Arabidopsis thaliana: one gene and its partner. The protein of the gene in region 1 purifies or fractionates together with the protein of each later gene. This does not show direct contact. Each region holds a gene or a part of one and is shown in the gene's direction. Other genes may lie near its edges.

What was found.
Region 2: the proteins of TAF2 (region 1) and AT5G08565 fractionate together in Arabidopsis thaliana (co-fractionation; one large-scale study listed by BioGRID). This does not show direct contact.

What each region holds. Positions count from the first base shown.
Region 1 is NC_003070.9:27,811,483-27,816,108, reverse strand, and holds the start of TAF2 (TBP-associated factor 2), read left to right. Parts: upstream 1-1,589; 5' UTR 1,590-1,675; coding exon 1,676-1,803; exon of another isoform or gene 1,804-1,950; intron 1,951-2,051; coding exon 2,052-2,385; intron 2,386-2,475; coding exon 2,476-2,621; intron 2,622-2,733; coding exon 2,734-2,800; intron 2,801-3,268; coding exon 3,269-3,468; intron 3,469-3,553; coding exon 3,554-3,707; intron 3,708-4,072; coding exon 4,073-4,157; intron 4,158-4,267; coding exon 4,268-4,359; intron 4,360-4,470; coding exon 4,471-4,596; intron 4,597-4,626. Other genes in the region: CLE13 (CLAVATA3/ESR-RELATED 13), read right to left, coding at 1-287.
Region 2 is NC_003076.8:2,773,913-2,777,979, forward strand, and holds AT5G08565 (Transcription initiation Spt4-like protein), read left to right. Parts: upstream 1-1,985; 5' UTR 1,986-2,051; coding exon 2,052-2,141; intron 2,142-2,221; coding exon 2,222-2,313; intron 2,314-2,665; coding exon 2,666-2,721; intron 2,722-2,955; coding exon of another isoform or gene 2,956-3,011; coding exon 3,012-3,073; intron 3,074-3,191; coding exon 3,192-3,242; 3' UTR 3,243-3,562; downstream 3,563-4,067. UniProt on the Arabidopsis thaliana protein: May regulate transcription elongation by RNA polymerase II. May enhance transcriptional pausing at sites proximal to the promoter, which may in turn facilitate the assembly of an elongation competent RNA polymerase II complex.

The sequences.
Region 1 (4,626 bases):
CGTTTTTCAACGCCATATCTCGGGTCAATCTCGGATCCTCCCGCCGGCAAAGCTTTCCGATGATTACTCCGGCGAAGATCTTTCAAGAACGGTGTGAAGTCAAACGTTTTCACCGCCAAAGCTCTTCTTCCCGGCCGGTAGTAAAGGGCCGGCAAGGTAATAACCGGAGAAGGAAAAGGGTTTATGGGTTTGGAGCTGAAATTGCCAAACAACCCTATGGAGACGAAGATGAGAAGAGAGATCCATAGAAGAAACCCTAAGACATGTGAGACTCTAGTCGTCGCCATGGAGATTAAAGATCATAGGACCATCGAAGACATAAATGAAATATAGTGTTAATATATATACGTATACGTATGTGTGTACAGAGGGAAAGAGAAAGAGAGAGATGTGAATTGGAGACAGCGTTTTCCAACGAAGAAACTTCCTTTGCGTTCAAGGAAGAGGAGGCCTCATTAAATTTGAAGTTCGTATTAAAGTCAAACCTCTCATCATATATTATTTATTCATTATGAATTTCAAATTGTTTTTGTACAACAGCTTAATTTACAAGCAGCATAGGAAACACAGGGGAACAAAAATTAAATGATCGCTTCATGTTTTTATCTAATTTGTTAGCATATTGAATGATTGATTTTCTTTTAATTTGGATATGTTGATTGTCTTGTTGCATCATCAATGTATGTTTTATTTAACACCGGAAGATCTTATGATGGGTTCATTACTTCATAATAATCTCCGAGTTCTACAAGACTACAACTTTCACGTGACTTTTACAGCGACAAAAAATGCATCTAGCGAAAATTAATCCACAACCTATGCATTTTTGTCACTCTTCACACGCGTATGTGCATAAATATATAGTATATACTCGACAATCGATGCGTATGTGTACACAATTACCAAAACAATTATTTGAATATTCAGACATGGGTTGACATCACCAAGTAATATTCACAGTATCTGAAAACTATGTTTTGACATCCCTAAATAGTTTGACTAACCAGTTTAATATGAGAGCATTTGTAAGAGGCAAGAGCCATGGTTTTGTTGGCTCGTTTAATATGCTCATTTAACCCCCCCAAAAAATACTATTAGATTTAAACGTAAAAGAATTAACGAACACAAGAACTGCTAAAACAAAAAAAAATCAATGGCCGACATTTCATAGTTCATACATCACTAATACTAAAAGATGCATCATTTCACTAGGGTCTCATGAAATAGGAGTTGACATTTTTTTTTGTAACGACAGAAGTTGACATGTTAAGCATCAATTTTTTTAAGAGTGGATTATACTAGTTTTTTTTTTTTTTTTTAATGTATGGTATGATACAACAACAAAAACTATAAAATAGAAAAAGTCAGTGAAACCTCAAATTGAAGGAAAAACTTTTGCACAAAAAGAGAGAGAGAGAGAAAGAATGTAAATCCAAATAAATGGGCCTAATTGAGAATGCTTTAACTTTTTTTTTTTGGCTAAAAGAGAATGCTTTAACTAAGCCCATAAAATGAACATCAAACTCAAAGGGTAAGATTAATACATTTAGAAAACAATAGCCGAATATTTAATAAGTTTAAGACATAGAGGAGTTTTATGTAATTTAGGAACCGATCCATCGTTGGCTGTATAAAAAGGTTACATCTCCGGCTAACATATCGGCAAAAAAGGAACATGGCCAAGGCTCGAAAGCCGAAGAACGAGGAAGCTCCTGGCGCGAAGACTTCAGAGAACACTGGAGCTAAAGTTCTTCACCAGAAACTCTTTCTCTCTATTGACTTCAAAAAACGCCAAATCTACGGGTCCGTTTTCCTCTCTTTCTTTCGATTTTTCATTCGCGAAACAAGTCCGTGAATGTGATTTTTGGTTGATATATATAATTCGGGATGAAGAAACCGGCAGAATTTGAATCTTGCACCGACAGTATTCTTTGGATTTTTCAATTTATGGTGAATCCTCTGCTTTTGATTATTTGGGGTTTTACTTATATACCTTGGTTTTATCATTCTTGGCTGCATTTTCATGGGATATTTTTGTTGGCTTTCTATAGTTACACAGAGTTAGAAGTGAGTGTGCCAGATATTGGTATTGTGGGACTACACGCAGAGAACTTGGGAATTGAGAGTGTTTTGGTAGATGGGGAACCTACTGTATTTGAGTACTATCCGCACCATCAGAACTCTGAAACTGAAAGTAACTGGAACTCGGTCTCTGACCCAGCTTCAGCAGCTGATGCTGCGGCCATGGAATATGTCGGGGTTCTTAAGAGAGAAGACACTGCAAATTTACTGATCAACTGTTGCAAGCCTTCTAAGGATTTATCTGAACAGCTGGACAGTGTGACTTTAGAAAACGGTTCCCAATCTTCAGGGGAGGCAAAACAGGTAATTGTTCTGATTCTCATATACACTGCCATGGGTTACAAGTGACCGCTGTCCTTTGTTTAACGATTTATGTTTGCTCATATGATGCAGAATGTTAAATTGATTCGGATTAACTACTGGGTAGAGAAAATAGAGTCAGGAATTCATTTTGATGGGAACATTGTACATACTGATAACCAGATGAGACGTGCTCGTTGTTGGTTTCCTTGTATTGATGATGAGTACCATCGTTGCAGGTATTCAGTTTTGTTAAGAAGTAACACTGTATTCATCTCCTGTCTTTTGAGATCAAAGTGGGTATCACAACCTGTTTAACTTTTTTTTTTAATAACTTTGTGGTGGGTGCAGTTTCGATTTGGAATTCACTGTTCCGCACAACTTTGTGGCTGTTAGTGTTGGGAAATTACTCTACCAGGTAAGTTGTGTAAATCTGTCATACATGAATGGATTAGAGGAAGTGCTATTTTCTTCGATCCTGTATCTTACGTACAAGACATATTCCATTATAGATCTGGATTGAATGGAAAAACTTAGAAAAAGCTGTCATTCCCGTGACTTGTGGACGTAGGCATAAAATCTGCGTCCAAATTTGGTTTCAGCTTATATATGAAAGAAGCCATATCCAGTGCTGTTTAATCTGAAAGTGTACTATCTCTATTTGCAAGGAAACTTGTTCATTGTTCTGTCCTTATATTATCAGAAGATTTTGCTGTTCAGTATAGTTATCTAATGAATCTGGATCAAACAGAAGAACTTTTTCTCTGTTATTGTAGGCATATAAGCTAAAACTTTGTTGAATAGGTTTACAGTTTCCATCATTCAATTTTATTAGTACTCTTACAAGGTGGAGGGGGCGTAATCTTTAAACTTTCACACTTTTCAGGTTATGTGCAAAGAAGATACTACTCAAAAAACGTATGTTTATGAACTAGCTATTCCTATTGCACCGCGGTGGGTGTCTTTAGTTGCAGGACCATTGGAAATCCTTCCAGATCAGACCAACTTTCTCATATCTAACTTGTGTTTGCCGCATGATCTCTCGAGGCTTCGTAATACAATGGAATTTTTCCATGAAGCTTATAGGTCCGTAAATTTGTATTCTGGCAACTTATTGTAGTCAAACTGAATTAAAGTATAAGTCTTGTCTACTGGAATTCAACTTCTACAGCTACTATGAGGATTATTTAAGTGCGAACTTTCCATTTGGATTCTACAAGCAAGTATTTTTACCTCCTGAAATGGTTGTTACTTCGTCGACTTCGGGAGCTTCCTTGAGTATCTTTAGCTCCCACATACTATATGATGAGAGGGTTATTGATCAGGTATTGTTTCCTGGTAAATTGACCTGTGGGTAGATAATACCTTCATCAGACACATGCACGTAAATGGTTTGTATATGCTAATATTAGGATGGAAGGCACACCAGACCTAATTTGTATGATGCATTTTTGAAAAAAGTACAACCAAGCACGTGTCTGAGCATGTTAAATATATTTCTGCATTACCACTTATGAATATTGCAAGCTGCGTTCATCTATTTCTTGCATTTCACCCCTTCATTGGCATATGGATTTTGGTGTAGAAGTTTTCACTATGTTTATAGGAAGTTTTCTTTCTTTGGTGGTGTTTCGTCATCTTTTTAGTTCCTTTATGCAAAAATCTGATAGAGCTTCAATTATCTTTGCAGACAATAGATACACGCATTAAACTTGCTTCTGCGTTAGCAAAACAGTGGTTTGGAGTTTATATTACTCCTGAATCACCAAATGATGGTGGGCTTGTGACATTTTTCTACACTTTGATTTGCGTACGATTTGTTATATCAGCTTCATGTGAAAACATGTAATTTTGTGATTCATGATTGTCCATGTTGTTATAACAGATTGGCTCCTTGATGGTCTTGCTGGTTTCTTAACGGATATGTTTATCAAGCAGTTTTTGGGAAATAATGAAGCACGATATCGGAGATACAAGGTTTATACCTACTACTCGAGTTATTCTTCCCTGACGCCTCTGTAACCATTTCTGAACTAAGCCATGAACCTCATATCTGGATTCTCTTTTTTTTTTTTGATCCAATTGCAGGCAAATTGTGCTGTCTGTAAAGCTGATGATAGTGGTGCAATGTGCTTGAGCTCATCTCCTTCTTGCAGGGACCTATTTGGAACTCATTCTATTGGAATGCATGGGAAGATACGATCATGGAAATCAGTAAGCCATATTTTTTCTTTTCATATTTAT
Region 2 (4,067 bases), on another chromosome or scaffold:
AAAAATTCAAAATTCACTTCATTTGAATGCCAAAAACATGAACTTTAGCCTTGAAATAAAGAATGGATTAACAAATTCCCATGTAGATCTAGTAGCAGGAGATAGTGACTATAGTAAGGAGATTAGCATTCAAACATCAAAAACAATTAGACAAGTGAATCAAACCCAATTGATCAAAACGACAAGTTAAATGCAATCGAAACAATCACCTCTGAATTGTTACACCGACGAAGCAAAAAAACAAAACAGTGAATCGAGATACGCACAATCATTTCAATCAAATTAGTCAGTAGCAAAACTACTCAATAAACACACAAAATTGACACAGTGCACCTACAAGAAGGATCCCCAAATAAGATTAGCAGTAACAAAAAAAACAAATCGTCAAAATCATCATCAAACTTAAATAGAAGAAGGATCACTTGGGGATGAAGATCAATTAACACGATCTAAGAAGGACAAAATCAAAAGGGAGAAAAATCCAATCTTACCAAATAAGAAGCAAAACCCAGATAAGGTTTGGCGATGGCAGAAGAAAGAGAAAGAGATAGTGATTAAGGAACAGCCCGGAAACAAAGGAGGGAAGGAAGACCGCTATAGAGATTTAGGAAGCGGTGAGGAGATGATAGAAAGAGAGAGAGAGAGCAAGTTCTGGAAAAGAGAAGCGTTAAAGAAGATGAAAAGGAGAGAGAGACTCAATAAGAAAGGCAAAACAAATATTATAAAAGAAGGCAATAGAAGAAGCAAAGGGCAGAGGCGTGGCTGATCACAGGCTACTCTCGATCTAATATATAGTCCCAACAAAATCTTATGCATTTTCCTTTACATTTACTCTATTTTCTTTTATCTTCACATTAATATTTCTGATACTTACTTAAAATACGTTAAAACGGTGTCGAATCAGCAGATCAAACGGAACAAGCGGAATAAATATAAGTTTTCGTTTATAGAAAACTAGTTTTGAAATGATTGTAGATAAACAAAACAGAAAAAAGTTAATTTCAATGATATCGGTAATGCTATTCTTCGAGGATTATTTGGTTGTGTTCAACAAGTAATTTAATCATATATATAGGCGGACTAGAGAAAGGAATGCTTTGAAAACAAATATTTGGTGCGGAAGGTATGTGATTTGGCAGAATTGTCTTGTGTTTTTAGATTGTGTTCAAATCTTATGTAACATAGGCCGCCTTTATACATCAATACGATGCCAAAGAAATGTCAAAGCAAATAATATATAGAAATCCAACTAAAAGCTTGGAAGAAACAAATATTAAGGGTTTCTTTTTAAAACCTTTATGCATTGTATTTGGTAGGTGAACTTTGAATGACAAAATATGTGACATGGTAAAAGATTTTTGATGGCGATACACGTTTGACGTTTACCTTAGTCCTTAAGCTGCATGTATTGGTTTAGGCTTTAGACGTTTAGTCTCGTGTTATCATACATATGTTATAATCCGATGCGTGGTGCAAAATCCGCATTAATTGACCGGAAATAGGAGAAAATGAGCTAGTAGGAAAAAAAAATGTTATCATCAGAAGTTTGTATATGAAAACCCGGAAAGAAAAAAGCTTCTCCAAAGACTGGTCCGCCACGTATGACGTATCGTTTGTGATTCCGTTGGTAGAATCGTAATGCAAAATTATCCAAACACGACAAAGACGATACACACGAATTTGCTTGAACAATAATAAACAAGGTTCTTTGAAGAAAAGAAAGTAATAAACTATGCACGGCACTAGGAGTAGAAATGATTGAAACCCTTTAACAAATTGAACTCATCTTGTTGCCGAAGTTATACAGATAACGTATGGAATATGAATGGGTTTGCGATTATTAGTTTATTGGACTTTCAGGCCCTTTTTAGAGAAAATTAGTTTCCTCCTCCCGAAATAGTCCTGCATTATGGACCACATTATGGGCCCATATTGAGGCCCACCTTAATGGTACTTATATACTATTTTGTACGGAACTGATTGATAGACATTAGACACGGAGACATTGTTGTCGTTCTTCGCAGACATTTCGATTTTGAAGACAAATCACAATGGGAGAAGCGCCTGCCCAGATTCCGACGAGTTTCGGCCACGAGCTTAGGGCTTGTCTTCGATGCCGCCTCGTCAAGACCTACGATCAGGTCTGGATTCTCTTGTCACTTGTGATTTGCGTGTTTCTTCTCTTGCGAATATTTTTTGCCTAATCTGGTTTCTCCAACAGTTTAGGGATTCTGGATGCGAGAACTGTCCTTTCTTCAAAATAGAAGACGATCATGAACGCATCGTCGATGTTACAACTCCCAACTTCAATGGGTATGGCTTAAATTCGAATCCTTACTTTGAAAATTTACATGGCACTGTTCATAAGTCTGTCTCTCGTACTTGTCGTTACATTGAAATTTCTGAACCTAGTCTATACTTATGATTAAATCGTATAGTCTATACTTATTGAGAAGACTTATTGTTGGTCGCTAATCTCTCGTTTTTTTGTTGAATGAGTCGTTGCAAATTGTGAAATCACTGTGGTGGATATGACCATAAAGTTTGCTGCTTTACGTTAAAATGAGTTAATAGTAACAGAGATGATGCTAGTGTTGATTATACTTGTCATTTGTTGATGTCACGTCCATGTAATTATGTATTGATATAATGAATGTTTTTGCAGTATAATCTCTATGATGGATCCACGCAGAAGTTGGGCAGCAAGATGGTTAAGAATTGGTATGTTTCAGCTCTGTTTCCTGATCATCCTCATTGTCTTTTAGAGTTTACTATACTGTGTAGCTTCTTCTTTCCGTTTCCTGTTATTCTTGTCTCACCATTATACTTTATAAATGGGGATATTAGTGCTGAATTTAACTGTGTTGTCTGCATCCATTTGAGCGGTAGCTGCATTCTGATTTGCTGTGTGTTTATGGCTTGATGACCTGATGTTGTATTCCCTAATATTGCCAGCTTTGTTTCAGACAGAAGAGAAATAAATCTAACACATTGCAATATCTTGTTTCCAGGGAAGTTTGCTCCTGGTTGCTACACTCTTGCTGTCTCAGAGGCACTCCCAGAGGAAATGCAGGTAAACATATTTACTTCTCTTAGAAACCTAAGAAGGGATTAATAAGCAAATCCTTAGCTCTGTTTTCGTATTGACTGTTCGTCTTTTTCACATGTATGTGGCGGAAATCCGCTGGCAGTTCATATGCCAACAAGCACGGGTGCAGTACGTTCCACCCAAACGTATTTGAAACCTTTTGCAGGTTGCAGCAAGTGTCTCCATATTAGCATCTCTGCAAGTCGTCAGTTTCAAGACAACTTAGTCCGATGGAGGTTATGAATGGAAGTAGTTAAGTTTTATGTACTTTGTTTCTGATTTCAACTAATATAGAGAGATTTGATCCTCTTATTGTTATCAAAAACTCTTATTTGATCCGGAAGATAGAGATAGATTACATTTTTTTTTTCAAGTATGGAATGGATTTCTTTTCCTGTGATATTCAGTACATTATTTGAATTACAAAATGAAGAAACTTTAAATTGAGCACCTAGCAGAAATGTGTGGTACCAATAATTCACAGAAAAAATGTCAACTACGCAGTTGATAGAAGAAGTGGCTCCTTAATCAGGCCAAGAGGGAAACAAGGAGAGATATTTATTGGTTTTTGGAATATGACCATTGAAATTCCCAAAGAACCGAAGAAAACTATGGGAAAATGTATAAAATGCCTGTCTTTATACCAAAAAAATATAAGACCCACAAATTCATGGATACAAAGTACAAACAAACAAATTATACACAAGAATCATCTTCCGATCCAAGGTATATTCTTCTGCTAGAGTAAATCATGGACGTAACATGCATAATTAACAATGGTTACTTAACAACAAGTAGTAATGAAAAATTGAAGACGTTCAGTCTATTTGGGCAAGAGGCAAATATTAATTTTCGTTACTATACGTTTATTTTCTTGGCAATTTAGTTTAATTTTGTTTAGGTCAAAGGCAATTTATTTTGTTATTAAAAAGATAAATTAGATTTTTTTAGAAAATAGCCTTTCTATATTAATTTTAAA